Anolis sagrei: one gene and its partner. The protein of the gene in region 1 interacts with the protein of each later gene in a pairwise test. Links are inferred from orthologs where the notes say so. Each region holds a gene or a part of one and is shown on either strand. Other genes may lie near its edges. The genes, in order: MIA2 and TTC23L.

The links.
Region 2: the proteins of MIA2 (region 1) and TTC23L interact in binary tests that used the Homo sapiens proteins (3 or more experiments, as listed by UniProt). The two-hybrid records come from large-scale screens. The link is inferred for Anolis sagrei from reciprocal best matches to the Homo sapiens genes MIA2 and TTC23L.

What each region holds. Positions count from the first base shown.
Region 1 is NC_090021.1:303,594,132-303,602,190, reverse strand, and holds the start of MIA2 (melanoma inhibitory activity protein 2), read right to left. Parts: upstream 3,215-8,059; 5' UTR 3,089-3,214; coding exon 2,974-3,088; intron 1-2,973. UniProt on the Homo sapiens protein: Plays a role in the transport of cargos that are too large to fit into COPII-coated vesicles and require specific mechanisms to be incorporated into membrane-bound carriers and exported from the endoplasmic reticulum.
Region 2 is NC_090022.1:280,073,295-280,081,304, forward strand, and holds the start of TTC23L (tetratricopeptide repeat protein 23-like), read right to left. Parts: upstream 3,248-8,010; 5' UTR 3,236-3,247; coding exon 3,116-3,235; intron 2,495-3,115; coding exon 2,371-2,494; intron 1-2,370.

The DNA of each region.
Region 1 (8,059 bases):
ATTAGTGAACTCTCATATTCCCAAAGATGTTTTCTGCTAGAACAGGAGAGGAGATTATGTAGTAGTTTGCTCACTGTCAACATAACAGAAATAGATTTGCAATTCAGTAGTGGATGAGGGAAGGGGATATACATTAACAAACTGTGAGTGCAGTTTGTTTGGTGACCCTTATAAACAAAGGCTTCCAGTGTAATATCAGTGGGCCTTTGCTGTCCACTAGAGTTTGGTCCCAGAGCCCCGTGTGAACACCAAAATCCCCAGATCCTCAAGCCTTTCTCTCCCTTTCCCTCCCCCCCCTCTATATATAGGTTAAGGTTTCCCATAACATTAAGTCTAGTCATGTCTGACTCTGGGGGGTAGTGCTCATCTCCATTTCTAAGTCGAAGAGACGGCTTTGTCTGTAGACCCCTCCAAGTTCATTTGACCGGCATGACTGCATGGAGTCCCATTACCTTCCCACTAAAATGGTACCTCTTGATCTACTCACATTTGCATGTTTTCGAACTGCTAGTTTGGCAGAAGCTGGGTCTAACAGTAGGAGCTTACCCTGCTCCTTGGATTTAAACCGCCAACCTTTCACTGAGCAAGTTCAGCAGCTCAGCAGTTTAACCTGCTGCACCACCAGGGGGTGATATATATATATATATATATATATATATATATAGGTGTAGTACAATAATGTCCCTTATATGTTTTTTTTTATTTTTAACAAATACATATTTCAAAGCCATGAATGGTTGAATTTGTGGATACAGAATCCATGGATATAGTGGGCTGACTGTACAAGGAATATGATATCTTACAGAAGGGCAGGGTTAACCATTATGCAAAGTAAGCACATGCTTAGGGCATCGAAGGAAGGGAGCACTACAGAAATTTTCCATTGCCAGATTCACGATCCACCATATGCCAATGATGCAGCTGAACCAGGTTCCACAAAAGGGGCTCCCACAATAAAAGAATTTGCAATTAGAAAATGTAGGGGGGGGGGGGACCCTACTAAATATAAATAATGTGGAAGTATAGAAAAGTTAACATTACTAATATTCTCCATGGAATATTATTTGACTTATTCATGGATCATATACATGCCCATAAATCTATCCCCAAAAGCTGTCCTCAATTTCTATATGAGCTTGATGTATACATGAGTATATATATGGTAGTTTATCCTATAGCATTGAAGTCATGTAGAGCATTAGCTTCTTTTCCCAGCACAATTACAATTTGGAATGTAAACAGTGCCTTCTGCATTACTCTTCCCAGGAGTACCCTTGTTTCGATCTGTGAAATGTTTCCAGGCATACTATATGTCTACTACCTGTCTACTCCTTCCTTAACATTTGATGGCTCAACTTGACTAATAGGAATCCAGGAAGGTCTGTGTAATTTGTCTCTGTGCATGAACTGGGGTGCCCAGACCAAATTTCTAGGGTTACTATAAGGCCAGAGAGCAGGAATGAGTACCTACCAATTATACTGATGGACATTGCATCAGTATATTAATCCTACAGATCAGGACGGAGTCTCCCATTGATCCTTGCCAGTGTAGCCAGTTATGAAGAATACTAGTTATTCAAGTCCAACAGCTGGAGGACTGTATCTTTGACTCTAGCACAATCCTTTCTTCAGCCCACTATAATTAATTAAGACAGTTAAGTGTGTATAAAGTTAAGTTAGACAAACTGCCAGAACAGGCAAGGTAGAGTCTATAAAAGAATGATGGGCCAACACACCTAACATATAGTGTAAGTTGGTCAGACAAACAAATTACATATATTTGTTAAACAATCATTCCTGTAAAGTATAACTCTTTGCCAGCCACATGACCTTAGAGGTGTCTACGGACGACGCCGGCTCTTCGGCTTAGAAATAGAGATGAGCACCAATCCCCAGAGTCAGACACGACTGGACTTAATATCAAGGGAAAACCTTTACCTTTATGTAGGGATGACACTGAGATAGTTTAAAGCAGTGTTTCTCAACCTGGGTTCAGGACCCCTGGGGGGTCGCGAGGGGGTGTCAAAGCGGTCACCAAAAACCATCAGAAAACACAGTATTTTCTGTCGATCATTGGAGTTCTCTGTGGGAAGTTTGTCCCAATTCTCTTGTTGATGGCCTTCAGAATGCTCTTTGATTGTGGGTGAACTATAAATCCCAGTAACTACAACTCCCAAATGTCAAGGTCTATTTTCCCCAAACTCCATCAGTGTTCACATTTGGACATATTGAGTATTTGTGCCAAGTTTGGTCCAGATACATCATTGTTTGAGTCCACAGTGCTGTCTGGGTGTAGGTGAACTACAACTCCAAAACTCAAGGGCAATGCCCACCAAACCCTTCCAGTATATTCTGTTGGTTGTGGGAGTTCTGTGTGACAAGTTTGGCTCAATTCCATTGTTGGTGGAGTTCAGAATGCTCTTCGATTGTAGGTGAACTATAAATCTCAGGAACGCCAACTCCCAAATTATAAAATAACCCCCCCCCCCATCCCAACCCCACCAGTATTCAAATTTGGGCATATGGGGTATTTGTGGCCAATTTGGTCCAGTGAATGAAAATACATCCTGCATATCAAATATTTACATTGCGATGCATAACAATAGCAACATTACATTTATGAAGTAGCAACAAAAATAATTTTATGGTTGGGGGTCACCACAACATGAGGAACTGTATTAAAGGGTTGGGGCATTAGGAAGGTTGAGAACCACTGGTTTAAAGCTTTCTTAGCAGGCTTCTTTTTTCCTAACTGAACTTTGTCCTTTCCCATAAACAACACCATAAATTAACCCAATGGCTTCACAAAAACAATTCTTCTTCCACAATTGTTGTGTTTAAAACATATAGAACAATCTCTTCTTAAACCTTGTTTGATCAGAATTTAAGGTACATACTGAGTTTCAAATAAATTTGTTGCTGTATTTTATTTTTAATTTGCATTTTATGTAAATCACAGATCTTTGTACTTACTTTCGCATTCTGGGTCGCCACACTTTTTCCGGTCTGACAATACCTTTTCACTCCTGATGTTGGTTAGCGACGAAATAAGTAGTAGAAAAAACCTGACCTCACAATTCATCACCATCCTAAAAACTGAATTATGATAATCCTAAAAGAATTAAAAATACTTTTTGTCAAGAATTTAGTAACTTAGATAATTCCTTTCCTTATTTAGTTAACGTCTTTAGTCTGTGTTCCTTTTCTCGTCGAACTCTGATTGCAGAAATGCCCTCTCAGCAATCTGCCAAGTCAACTGTCCTGATTAAGCAAATTAATAATTAACTACATTTGATAACAGAGGCTAGTATTTTGAAACAGAAAAGGCGTTTTCAGTCAAGTGATGGAATCCATATATTCTAATTAAGGGTACTTTATGGGAAATTGTGAGGAGACAGATACAAAATGATTAAAGACACTAAACAAAACCAGTGATCACTGTTGTGTACCTTCAAGTCATTTCTGACTTATGAGGATCCTAAGGCAATCTTATCACAGAGGTTTGTTTGACAAGATTTGTTCAGAGGGGGTTTGCCTTTGCCTTCCTTTGAGGCTGAGAAACTATGACTTTCCCAGAGGGTTTCCATGGATCAGTAGAGATTCAAAGCCTGCTCTCCAGAATCACGCCCCCAGCACTCAAATCAGTGAACTACAACATAGATACTTTATTATAATGGCCAGAATCACTGGGTTGTTGTAGGTTTTTCGGGTTATATGGCCATGTGCAAGTAGCAGTCTTTCCTGATGTTTCGCCTGACGTTTCGCCCCTTATGAACCATCTAGGATCTTAAGATTGTCTGGGGAGGCCCTGCTCTAAATTCTGCCTTTGTCATAAGTATGTCTGGCGGGGACGAGAGACAGTGTCTTCTCAGTGGTGGCCCCTTGGCTATGGAGAGATCTCCCTAGGGATATCAGATCGGCCTTCTAAAAATTATCATGAAATGACTTCTTCCAGGGAGCTCACAGTGAAGTTATTTTATCATCACCACAACCAGATGAGACAAGAAAGGTGAGGACTACTGAGTTTACCAATATTACCTTATGAGCATGGAGATGTGGATACATTACATCGAGGATTCACTTGAACTTTTATTTTCCATTATGCCTTACCACCTGATCATATTAATTCCTTTAAAAAATCAGATTTTGCAATGTTGTCTGAGTCTAGATATGACCTGTGATCAGTGGAAGAGAGAAGAGGAAGAATACAAGCGAGTGGGGAGAGAGGGAAACACAGCGTATTTCATGAAGAATTTAGAGACAAAACTGGAATATCCAGATTAATTTTAAAAAGTGTGACATTTCAATGCTTCTAAATATTTTTTCCCTTGTGGATTAACCCAATTTACAAATGGGTATGTGTTGTGTTGGTTCACTCACCTTTGTTTGTTCTAGTCAGTGTTTTCCTTTCTCCAATCTAGTTTTTTCTCCAACTGTCTTTTCCAACTCTTTTTCTTTCTCCTTTCAGACCTGCCTTCCCATTGGTCAACACAGCATTCCAAATTACATGCGATTATTGCGCACGTGGGGGGGGGGGGGATTATACGAGTTGAATCAGAAACAGGTAAAATGTCAATTGGTTTGAGAATTACAATTTGGTTTTTATGACTGTTTATGATCAATTTATAATCCACTATCACATTCTCCCTCGGTATCTATTAGGATTTCTAGACTACTCTTAAAATGAGAGAAGCAAACTTTTGGGAAACTTTTTGAAACAAAACCATTGTTTTTAGATTAATTGCAAGATTAAACTTCATCCCGATCATACCTTTTTATGTTCTTTGAAGACTTTCCTCTTATAATTGCTAAGGTTTCTATGGTGTAACCATTTTTATTATGTAACTATATTGTTTTTATGTGTTGTCAAAGGCTTTCATGGCCTGAGTCACTAGGTTGCTGTTAGTTTTCCAGGCTGTATGGCCATATTCCAGAAGCATTCTCTCCTGACGTTTCACCCACATCTGTGACAGGCATCCACAGAGGTTGTGAGGTCTCACAATCTCTGAGGATTCCTGCCATAGATGTGGGCAAAACGTTAGGAGAAAATGCTTCTGGAAAACTCACAGCAACCCAGTATATTGTTTTTATATTATTTACTGGTTTTATAACAAGATTGCCTTTCACCTTCTTATCTATTGCTCAAATAAACCTTACATGTGCTTTACTTGAGTGTGCAGTTGGTTCTAGGATCATTCTCCCATTGTAATTGGAGGCATAAACCAATGTTGGTAAGCAGCTTCCTTTAAAGCAACTTGGATACCAGTTTCCAAGTTCCAAATTACAGGGTTGTTGTTCTTTAACTGAATTTCAACAGAAAGGAAGAAACCATGAAAATGAACAAAATCTGGCTACCAGTATTAACAAACTCTAAAATTATAACAGTAAATAAAGAACAACACTCAAACACAGGGGAACTCCAGAGACGAAACAAGCAGGGACAGCTAATAAAATCTCAACAAAGTATTCCCCCAGGCAGTAACAAGTCACACCTAAAAACTGTCAGGCCATTGAATGCTAACCAAGGTGGCCAATTGAAACACACCTAGCTCCAACAGACAAGAGTGCTTTTTCCACCCTGGACTTTCCACAGATATATAAACCCAATGTTCCTGGTTTCCAACAGACCTCACAACCTCTGAGGATACCTGCCATAGATGCAGGCGAAACCTTAGGAAAGACTGCTTCTGGAACATGGTCATACAGACCAAAAACCTACAACAACCCAGTGATTCCAGCCATGAAAGCCTTCGACAATACATTCCAAGTTACTCTTGATACACAGAGCTGTTTGAATTGCAATCCTCCATGTTTACCTAGGAAAAAATACCTTCAAACTAAATTAATCCCATTCTAGGAGTCTCTAAGATGTGCAAGTCTCTTTTAGCTCATTTCTCTCTTCTATTTTATGTATCCTCCTAAAGAGGGAATTTTCTATTTGAGATGGCTTTAGTAGATGATTATACAATTTCAGACAGGTATAATGACTTTTATTTTAGAGTATTTTAGGCCTTTTATCACATAAGGCTAGAAATCTGCAGTACCTTCTTTGGCTGGTAATTATCACATGATGCTATTTCTCCTTTGTTTGCATTCTATTATTTGTAACTGTCGAAAAACCTATCAATGGCTCCCAATATTGCTTCTGTTTAACATTGACTCTTGTGTGATCAGTAACTTTGGCAACAGTTTCAATATCCTAGCAATTTCCTCCTCTCCTGCTTGCTATTTCCAAGTAGGATGAAGGAGGAAGTTTATGCAAGAGTGATCATAGGACTGTGATTGCTAAAGGAAGGCCATAGCTCGATTGCAGCGAAGTGTAATGTCTTCCATGAGGTATGTTTCCATTGGCTTAAACAACACGATTGCCACAAGATAATTGGTGTGATAATGTCTTTAGGAAAAAAAACTCCTTTGTCTTTAACAATACTTATATAGTAAATAAATAACCTGCTTCATGAGACTGTTTTAAAAATTGAGGCTTCATTTTTGTGAATCTAACATAAAATAAAATGCTTACGAGGTACTTATTGAAGCAGAGAACTGCTTCTTTACATCAAATACTCCTTGATGCCATACGTGCCAACACATATGACAAGTGGCACTCTGCCATGCCTTGTGTGATAATCTTTCCAGGGAGATATGCCTAGTGTCCATATTAACACCATTTATGCACTGTACCAATGCCGACCTGTCGTCTCAGAAAACCAGTGGGTGACCTTGAGCTAGTCACACTCCCTCAGAAGGCAATGGCTAATGTCCCCTGAATAAACTTTGCTAGGAAACCAGTGTTGCTATAGGTTGAAATTGTCTCCAAAAACAGATTCTCCACCCCATCTCAAGACACTTCACTGGCTGTGAGTCTGCTACTGAGCACAATTCAAAATGCTGCCTTTAGCCTATATATCCCTAAATGTTTCCGACCCAGCTTACATGTCTGAACATACCTCCATGATCCACCACGGAGACGAATGTCGGAGGAAGAACTGCTCTCGATCCCATTGGTGGGGATGAGAGACAGGGCCTTTTCAGTGGTGGCCCCTCTTCTATGGATTGGCCCCCTCCCTAATGGCCTTCAGAAAAAAACTAAAAACATGGCTTTGGGATCAGGGCTTTGGTCAGTAATGGGAGCAGCTAATAAATTAACATTGACAACTCAGACTGGCCCCAGATTGTGCGATGTTAAATTGTTGCCTAATGTGATGTTTTAACTGGTTGGTTTTAATGTTTATTTATCAACGTGTACACTCAGCATTGAATTGTTGCCTTTGTAAGGCTGCCCCGAGTCCCCTCCGGGGTTGAGAAGAGCAGGATGTACTGTATATACTCAAGTATAAGCCTAGTTTTTCAGCAATTTTTTATGTTCACAATTAAAACTTGTGCGCCAGCTGTGCCCGTACCTTGGGAAGTCAGCCTTGGCCACGGTGGTTCACGCTCTTTTTACATCCAGGATAGACTACTGCAACGTGCTCTACATGGGACTGCTTCAAATAGTCAAGAGAGGCAGCCAGGTTAATAACTGCGGCAGCATATAGGGAGCCCACAACTCCGTTATGCCAGATCCACTGGCTGCTTTTTTGCTACCAGGCACAATTCAAAGTGCTGGCTTTGGCCTATAAAGCCCTAAACGGCCCCGGCCCAGTTTACCTGTCTGAACGCATCTCCCTTTACAAACCACTGCGAAAACCAAGATCTTCTGGGGAGGCCCTGCTCTGTCCTGCCATCACAGGCATGTTTGGCAGGGACGAGAGACAAGGCCTTCTCAGTGATTGCCCCCTGGTTATGGAACTCCCTTCCTGGAAATATTAGGTCAGCCCCCTCCCTCCTGTCCTCGGAAGGATGGTGAAGACCTGGCTGTGGACCAAGCCTTTGGGGCAGTCCAGTGAGGCAATAATTGAATTGTGCGGAAATGGTTTTTAAGCAACTGATTTTAAAGTGCATATGCGAGTTTAATGTTTTTATATATTTATGGTTTCATGTCCTGGCATTGAATGTTTGCCATACATATGTTGTGCCTCACCTTGAGTCCCCTGCGGAGTGAGAAGGGCAGAATATACAT
Region 2 (8,010 bases), on another chromosome or scaffold:
AATGGCCAGTAGGTGGCAGCTTTATTCCATTTACAAACTGGACCCTAAAATATGTTTCCCATAACTCTTCGAGCTAGGTAAAGTTGCTCTTTTGCACTTTGTGTGCCTCCAAGTTGTTTCTGAGTTATGGCAATCCATCAGTGGGTTTTCTTGGCAAGGTTTGTTCAGAGTGGGTTTGCCTTTGCCTTCCCCAGAGGCTGAGAGAGAGTGACTTGCCTGAAATCACTCGGTGTTACAATTCCCAACATTCCCTACCCAAACTCAGCTTGTTTCCAAGTGAAGCTGCATTACAACATGCCACAGAGGATGAGACAGGCAGAGAGTGAAAGCAAACCCTAAAAAATACAAACAAATTATTGCTATGTGAGACCTAAGAATGAATTTTTACATCTCTGATTCCATTCTAATCATAGAGAGGTATCAGTCATGCACCAAAGTGCTGTTCCAGCAGTCACCAGCCGTCCCCTCTCCAATGCCAGAGATACAGCTTAATGGTGTAACATTAGAAAATGTCGACCATTTCCGCTACCTTGGCAGCCACCTCTCCACCAAAGTCAACATCGACGCCGAAATACAACACCGCCTGAGCTCTGCAAGTGCAGCATTTTCCCGAATGAAGCAGAGAGTGTTTGAGGACCGGGACATCCGTAGGGATACTAAGATGCTTGTCTATAAAGCTATTGTCCTCCCAACCCTGCTATATGCCTGTGAGACATGGACTGTCTACAGACGTCACATGCAGCTCCTGGAACGATTCCATCAGCGCTGCCTCCGGAAAATCCTGCAAATCTCCTGGGAAGACAAGCGGACAAACGTCAGCGTGCTGGAGGAAGCAAAGACCACCAGCATTGAAGCGATGGTCCTCCAACATCAACTCCGCTGGACAGGCCACGTTGTCCGGATGCCTGACCACCGTCTCCCAAAGCAGTTGCTCTACTCCGAACTCAAGAACGGAAAACGGAATGTTGGTGGACAGGAAAAGAGATTTAAAGATGGGCTCAAAGCCAACCTTAAAAACTCTGGCATAGACACTGAGAACTGGGAGGCCCTGGCCCTTGAGCGCTCCAGCTGGAGGTCAGCTGTGACCAGCAGTGCTGCAGAATTCGAGGAGGCACGAGTGGAGGGTGAAAGAGAGAAACGTGCCAGGAGGAAGGCGCGTCAAGCCAACCCCGACCGGGACCGCCTTCCACCTGGAAACCAATGCCCTCACTGCGGAAGAAGATGCAGAGCAAGAATAGGGCTCCACAGCCACATGCGGACCCACAAGGAAACCCATGATGGAAGACCATCTTACTCGTCCAACGAGGGATCGCCTAAGTATCAGTCATGCTTTTCTAAGACAAGGGAATACAACTAGAATTGCTCCAGGGTAAGCTATATTTCAACTGTTTCCTTGATACAATTGCTCCAAGGCCCAGTGCAGTAGGAAAAATGCTCATCAATACTTTGTAAGAACCTCATCACACTGGAGAATGAATCCACTTTAAATCTGGTTTCTGCCACCTGCAGAATTGTGGGGTTTATAGTTTAGGGAGGTTGTTAAAGGCTCCTCCCTAAACTACAAACCCCAGAATTCTGCAGGTGGCAGAAACCAGATTTAAAGTGGATTCATTCTCCAGTGTGATTAAGTACTTTGTGTCATTTAAAATGAATTTTAATGTTTTATGTTCATGACATGCAAGATGTAATTGTACTGTTTTTATTTTAGTTTCACATTTTAATGCATTTGCCCAGTTTTAATTATTTTGTGTCATGCCAGCCTTTTTGAGTCTCAGTATTGGGAGATGAGTGGGATAAAAATAAAGCAAATAATAAATTAAGACTTTGGGTATATCCACATTACACCATTATAACATTTTGAAATCACTTTAACTTGTTCTGGCTGGGTGCAACGGAATCCTGGGAGTTGTAGTTTTGCTGAGGAAATTGAAAGGGGCTATAGTGTTCAGGGATTGGAGAATACTTAATATCTTCCTAAACTACCAATTCTACAGATCATTAGGAAAAAGCCATGGTATATAAAGTGGAATAAAATTGTTATTCTTGTGCAGTGTGGAAACCACATTGGATCTCATCAGTGTTTTATGCTACTTGAGTAAGTAAGGAAAATGCATTTGATTAGTCTGCAGTAATTGAAAACATCCTCACATGTAATTTTCTGTCACTGTCTTTTGTACTTGCTTCCTTATTAATGCATTCATTTATTTTGCTTCTATGCCACACATGTGAACAAGGGGTCCCAATTTCCGTAATTCCTCTTGGCCTTAATTGCCTTTATTTGGCTTTCTCTTCAGAAGTTACAACTGATGTCAGGATCAAATTGTATCTCTTTTTCCGTATTTTGTTTAGAACAACCTGTGGATGCTTTACCTTGGAGCACAAGATAGCCGTGAGCAAGGTTGGCAAATGCTTGCCCCAACCGCCAGTGCCCATTTCCATAGATAATTCGAGTGAGAGCAATACATTGGATTAGTTCTTTGCAGGCATTTTGTGCCTGGGGAAAAGAAAAAGATAACATACAAATTAGATTTGTTGTGAAAAATAAAACATGTGAGTGGGTTGCTGTGAGTTTTCTGGCCATGTTCCAGAAGACCTCCCAACCTCTGAAGATGCCTGCCATAGATGTGGGCAAAACGTTAGGAGAGAATGCTTCTGGAACATGGTCATACAGCCCAGAAAACACACAGTAACCCAGTGATTCCGGCCATGAAAACCCTCAACAACACATAAAACATTTGAGGCCGGAGGAAAGTGTGTATTTTTCTTTCCCAACTCAGGGCATCATTGCATGATGCTGTTCTCCTGCAGCATTTACACAATCACGGATATGCCTTGCATGGACATTGTGCTTGACCCCCCTCTGTCTTCCACAAATTCGCAGCTGTTATTCCTTCCTTCATCTTGATCTCACAACAACCCACTGAGTCTCGTGGCCGATTGGACATTTTGATTCCAAATCTTGATCCCTCTTAAAGATTTAGAAACCACTCGTATCATCCCTCCCATTCCTTGAGGGAAACCTGAGCAAATGTTAAAAGCAACTCTTATTCTAACGCTTCTACATCGTTGAACCCGTCAGCTTGTATCACTGTGCACATGAAAAGGGAAATGTTACCTCTTTTTCTTCAGCAAACCTGTCTGCCTTTTTCTGTGCTTTCATTAACTTATCTAGCGGTGTAGCAAACAGCTTGAACTTCATTTCCTCTCCTTCACAGTTGCCCTTAATTTCCTCCATGTGTTCGATCGTTTCTTATTCTGTAGTCTTAAATGTTATAAAATTGGAGTTAACAACTAAGAGTCAACAGACCAAAAATGTCCTTTCTGCAGAGGAGTAGCAGTCACTACTTCAGAGACAAATAACTCAAGCCGACAAGGATTTTTCATCAGATATAATTTTCAGTCATTCTTATAGAGTTTTTCACACTGAATGAAGATCTGTGTTTAGGTTTTTCTCTATCATATGTAGAGAAGACAATTATGCTGGTGAAAGTGGAAAGTAAAAGGAAGAGGGGCCGACCAGGGGCAAGATGGATGGATGGCATCCTTGAAATGACTGGACTGACCTTGAAGGAGCTGGGGGTGGTGACGGCCAACAGGGAGCTCTGGCGTGAGGTGGTCCATGAGGTCACGAAGAGTCGGAGACAACTGAACGAATGAACAACAATGTAGTTTCTGCAATGAGGCAAATCAAATAATTAATGCATTTACACACCGATATCAATAGAATCTAATTATTCAATTAGCTTCATTGTAATAGAGAAAAAATAAACACAGATCTGCATTCCGTGTGAAAAACTCTATAAGAATGATCTAAAATTATATCTGATGGAAAATACTTGTTGGCTTGTGTTACACGAATATGATGTGAAATGTGCAGACTTTACAGTAGTCCACTATAATGCACCATTCATCATATTAAAAAAATTGATGTGATAAAAAAGACATTTTTAAAATCAGCATAAAAATTGATTTAAACTGTGCTACTCTCATTTCTGATGATTACAAAAAGTTAGATTTTGTTGGATTGTGTAATTGTCATTATAAAGAGAACTAACAGTTCAGTTGTGGTTTGGATTAACCTCTGGATTCAACCACGTTTGTATAAATGACTTTCTGACAAAGCTATCAATTGAGGTAAACTATATGATCACCACCTTAAAAAAGTGGCTGAAATTAAAATGAATACATGCTTCTTTTTTGGAAACTCTGCACCACATGCCTGAGATGGAAGCAGTGGTGTTACCTGCAAATGGTGGGCAAAGAAAAGGAACAAGTGGTTGGAGTGCTGGCAGATGAAATATACAATAGTTGGGCAAAAGATAAACTTTTAGTGGAATAACCTCTGGGAAAAACATACTCATGTGGGAGTATCTCCAACCCAACTAAAAGTACCACCTCTTTACATCCAAGAAAATTCAGCCACCTTTTCAACCTGTTCCAGCAAGTTCAATGCCTCCATCCACTCCTTCTGCTCCAGCTCATCCCTTTTGCTCCCCACTCCACCAAAATTGCCACTTTCTTACTCCTACAAGAAAACAGCCACCTTTTAAATCTGTTCCCAGTGAATCCATGACCAAATAAGAATTTGAAAGTATGTTGCTGGTTGATGTCCTTAGTTTTACTGAGTCTGAATGTGCATATGTGTTTTATCTCATTGTACTTTATATTCTGCTTCATTTTTATGTTTGTTTTTAGGCACTTTGTAAGCTGCCCACAGTCCCTTCGGGGAGATGATGGCGGGATATAAGAATAAAGTAGTAGTAGTAGTTGTTGTTGTTATTGTTGTTGTTGTTGTTATTATTATTATTATTATTATTATTATTAGTAGTAGTAGTAGTATTGCTGTTTCAAACCCAGCACTAAGAAACATCATCATCATCATCATCATCATCATCATCATCATCATCATCATTGCTGTTTCAAATCCAGCACTAAGAAACATTATTCTACTGGTTCTCTTGTAAGAGCAGTTCTGGTCGAAGCTGACCATGGAGTCACTCTGAAGACTGTAGAGATTTCTAGTGAGAAAATTTAAATCAAATCCTCAAATGATCACATTCAAAAAGGTCAAACCTGCAAATGTGGAGGACTGATTATATTGCTCTGGAAGAACTTTTTTTTGTACATATGAGTAATCTAGATCTGCGTCATTTGGGAAAGGTTGGACTAGATCATGGCACAGCTAGTTAGTAGCCAGCTGTATTAAATCACTACTGATCAAGAGGTCATGAGTTTGAAGCCAGCCTGGGTCGGAGTGAGCTCCTGATCATTAATAGTCTACTTGCTGTTGACCTATGTAGCCCGAAAGACAGCTGCATCTGTCAAGTAGGAAATTTAGGTACCACTTTATGCAGGGGAGGCTAATTTAGCTAATTTACAACACCATAAAACCTTCCAGCAGCATGTGTAAGAATGAGGAAGTACTCCATCAAGGACTCGATGTCACAAGTGGACGGTGAAGTGGCAGCTCCTCCTGTGGCCGAAATCAAGCATACCCTCATGAAGCTGGAAAGTTGGAATGTTAAATTGCCTCTGTGTCTGTCTATATATGTTGTATGTCTATGACACTGAATGTTTGCCATGTATATGTGCATTGTAATCCTCCCTGAGTCTCCTACAGGGTGAGGAGGGTGGAATATAAATACTGTAAATAAAATAAATAAAATAATAGTATCTATTGCTGGGGTTGGATCATAGTTCAGTGACAAAGCACAAGCTTTGAATGCAAATCTTTCTTGGTAGAATCATTGGAAAACTCAGTTTAAGAGATGTTGGCAGAAGTCTCTGGGTAAGGCCTTGTTTTAGATGGCACTGGACTGGCATCTGCATGCAACTGAAGTTTGCTCCAAAGTCAGGGCAAGGTCTTGCAGTTCACAGATTTGCTGTCACCTTGAGCTTTTCCATTGTATCCACAGTCTCTCTTCTAAATCTATAGAAACTGCATGCCCTTGATCTCCAAACTTTGTAAGAATGGTCCCAATCCCCATCCTTTTTGCATATCCCCTCTTCCACGTTGGATTATGAAGATGGTTTCATCCCAACCCTATAGTTGCAGGGCGGAAATTGCTAAAGCTATTTACATTAAAGAATTACTATGTGAAACAAATAGCAGTTTCAAGGAATGGTAGCTTTTTAAAGCCATTTGTGATGTTAGGAAGATTTTTGGGTTGTTGTAGCATTTTCAGGCTATATGGCTAGAAGCATTTTCTCCTGACTTTTCATCTGCATCTATGGCAGGCGTCCTCAGAGGTTATGAGGTCCACAACCTCTGAGGATGCCTGCCATAGATGCAGGCAAAACGTTAGGAGAGAATGCTTCTAAAACATGGCCATATAGCCCAAAAAACCTACAACAACCCAGTGGTTTTGGCCATGAAAGCCTTAGACAGTACAAGGAACATTTTTATTTGACTCCTGCTCTCTGACCCAGTGTTGGTTTTCTCTCTCAGCATCTTTTCATATCCATGTTCCCCTTTCTAATATACTAAATATAAAAGCTGTTCCTGGAATGGTATCAAACACCCTAATTTTGATTCCCAACAAGGAAATTGGCTCAGAAGAAGTTCCTCCTACCTCTGCACCAGGCCAGGAACAGAGTGAAAAGACCTCTTCCCCTCACTTGCCTTTGGCCTCTGGTAGCCCTTTGTAGGGTTCACTTTCACTGGGCACGCAAGGCAAAGGGCATCTTGTTCCTTTCCCACAGCAAATCCAAGGTCCCCCTTCCAAGCCGTAGCCAGGGTGACAGCTTGTTGCCGGAGTTGTCCTGGTGACAAAATGCTTTCCTCACGCTTGAAAGAGAGTGCCTTTCTTTCCTTTGTAACCAGAAGCAATTGAACTCAACGGAGCTGGCAGGCTGTCCTCTGTGATGGATCATTAGAACAAAAAAGCAACACTATTTGAGCCATTGAGTCTGTTAGGCCCACTTCCAAATCCAAGCTGTATTTTATTTTCACAAGAATGTTGTAAGGATGTTTGCTTATGGTCTGTCTGTCTTTGCATACACGCAATTGGTATGGTCCAAACACAGCCAGGCAAAATGCAATTTGGAGAGCAGAAAAAGGTTCAAGTTAAAATTTGATATCCTTGGTAACCAACCTTCTATGTACAGTTGGCATCCCATATTTGTTAATTTCACTGTTTGTGAATTTGATTATTTATATGTTTAATTTATATGTTCTCTCAAGGAATCTCTCTCAATGTACTATTCATGGCTGCAATCACAGGGTTGTTATGTGTTTTCCGGGCAATATGGTCATGTTCCAGAAGCATTCTCTCCTAATGTTTCACCTGCATCTATGGCAGGCACCCTCAGAGGTTGTGAGGTCTGTTGGTTGTATTTATTTATTTATCGTGTCATCTGCAACCAGAACAATGTTCTGTTGGTTGTGAGGCCTAGCGGCTTTCAAGGTCAAGCTTCTTACTGCCTGGGGGAATACTTTGTTGAAAAGTGATTAGCTGGCCCTGATTGTTTCTTGTCTGGAATTCCCGTTTTTGAGTGTTGCTCTTTATTAACTGTTATGATTTTAGAGTTTATAGGTATAAATACGTTATAGGTATAAAAGTATAAAAATCAAACAGTTACTGATAATAAATCAGCATCAGCAAGGCTTGCTAAACAAGGTTTTTCTTTTTCATGGAGTACAGCTGAAGTATTTTCTGCAGAGTCTGCTGTAAATACTGCATGTTATGCTTAACACATTTGTGTAAATGTGTGGTGTCCAAAAAACTTTTACGGTTAACAAAATTTTTATGACCCCAACACTGAGCTAAGTGGACCCCTTTTTGGGTCTGGACCCACAGTTTAAGAAGCAGTGCTCTAGAGCTTCCTAGAAAGAACATTTATGTAGACATTTGAATGTTTTTAAATGCAGTGTGTTGTCAAAGGCTTTGATGGTCAGAATCAATGGGTTGCAGTGAGTTTTCTAGGCTGTATGGCCATAGTCCAGATGCATTCTCTCCTGGTGTTTCACCCACATCAATGGCAGGCATCCTCAGAGGTTGAGAGGTCTGT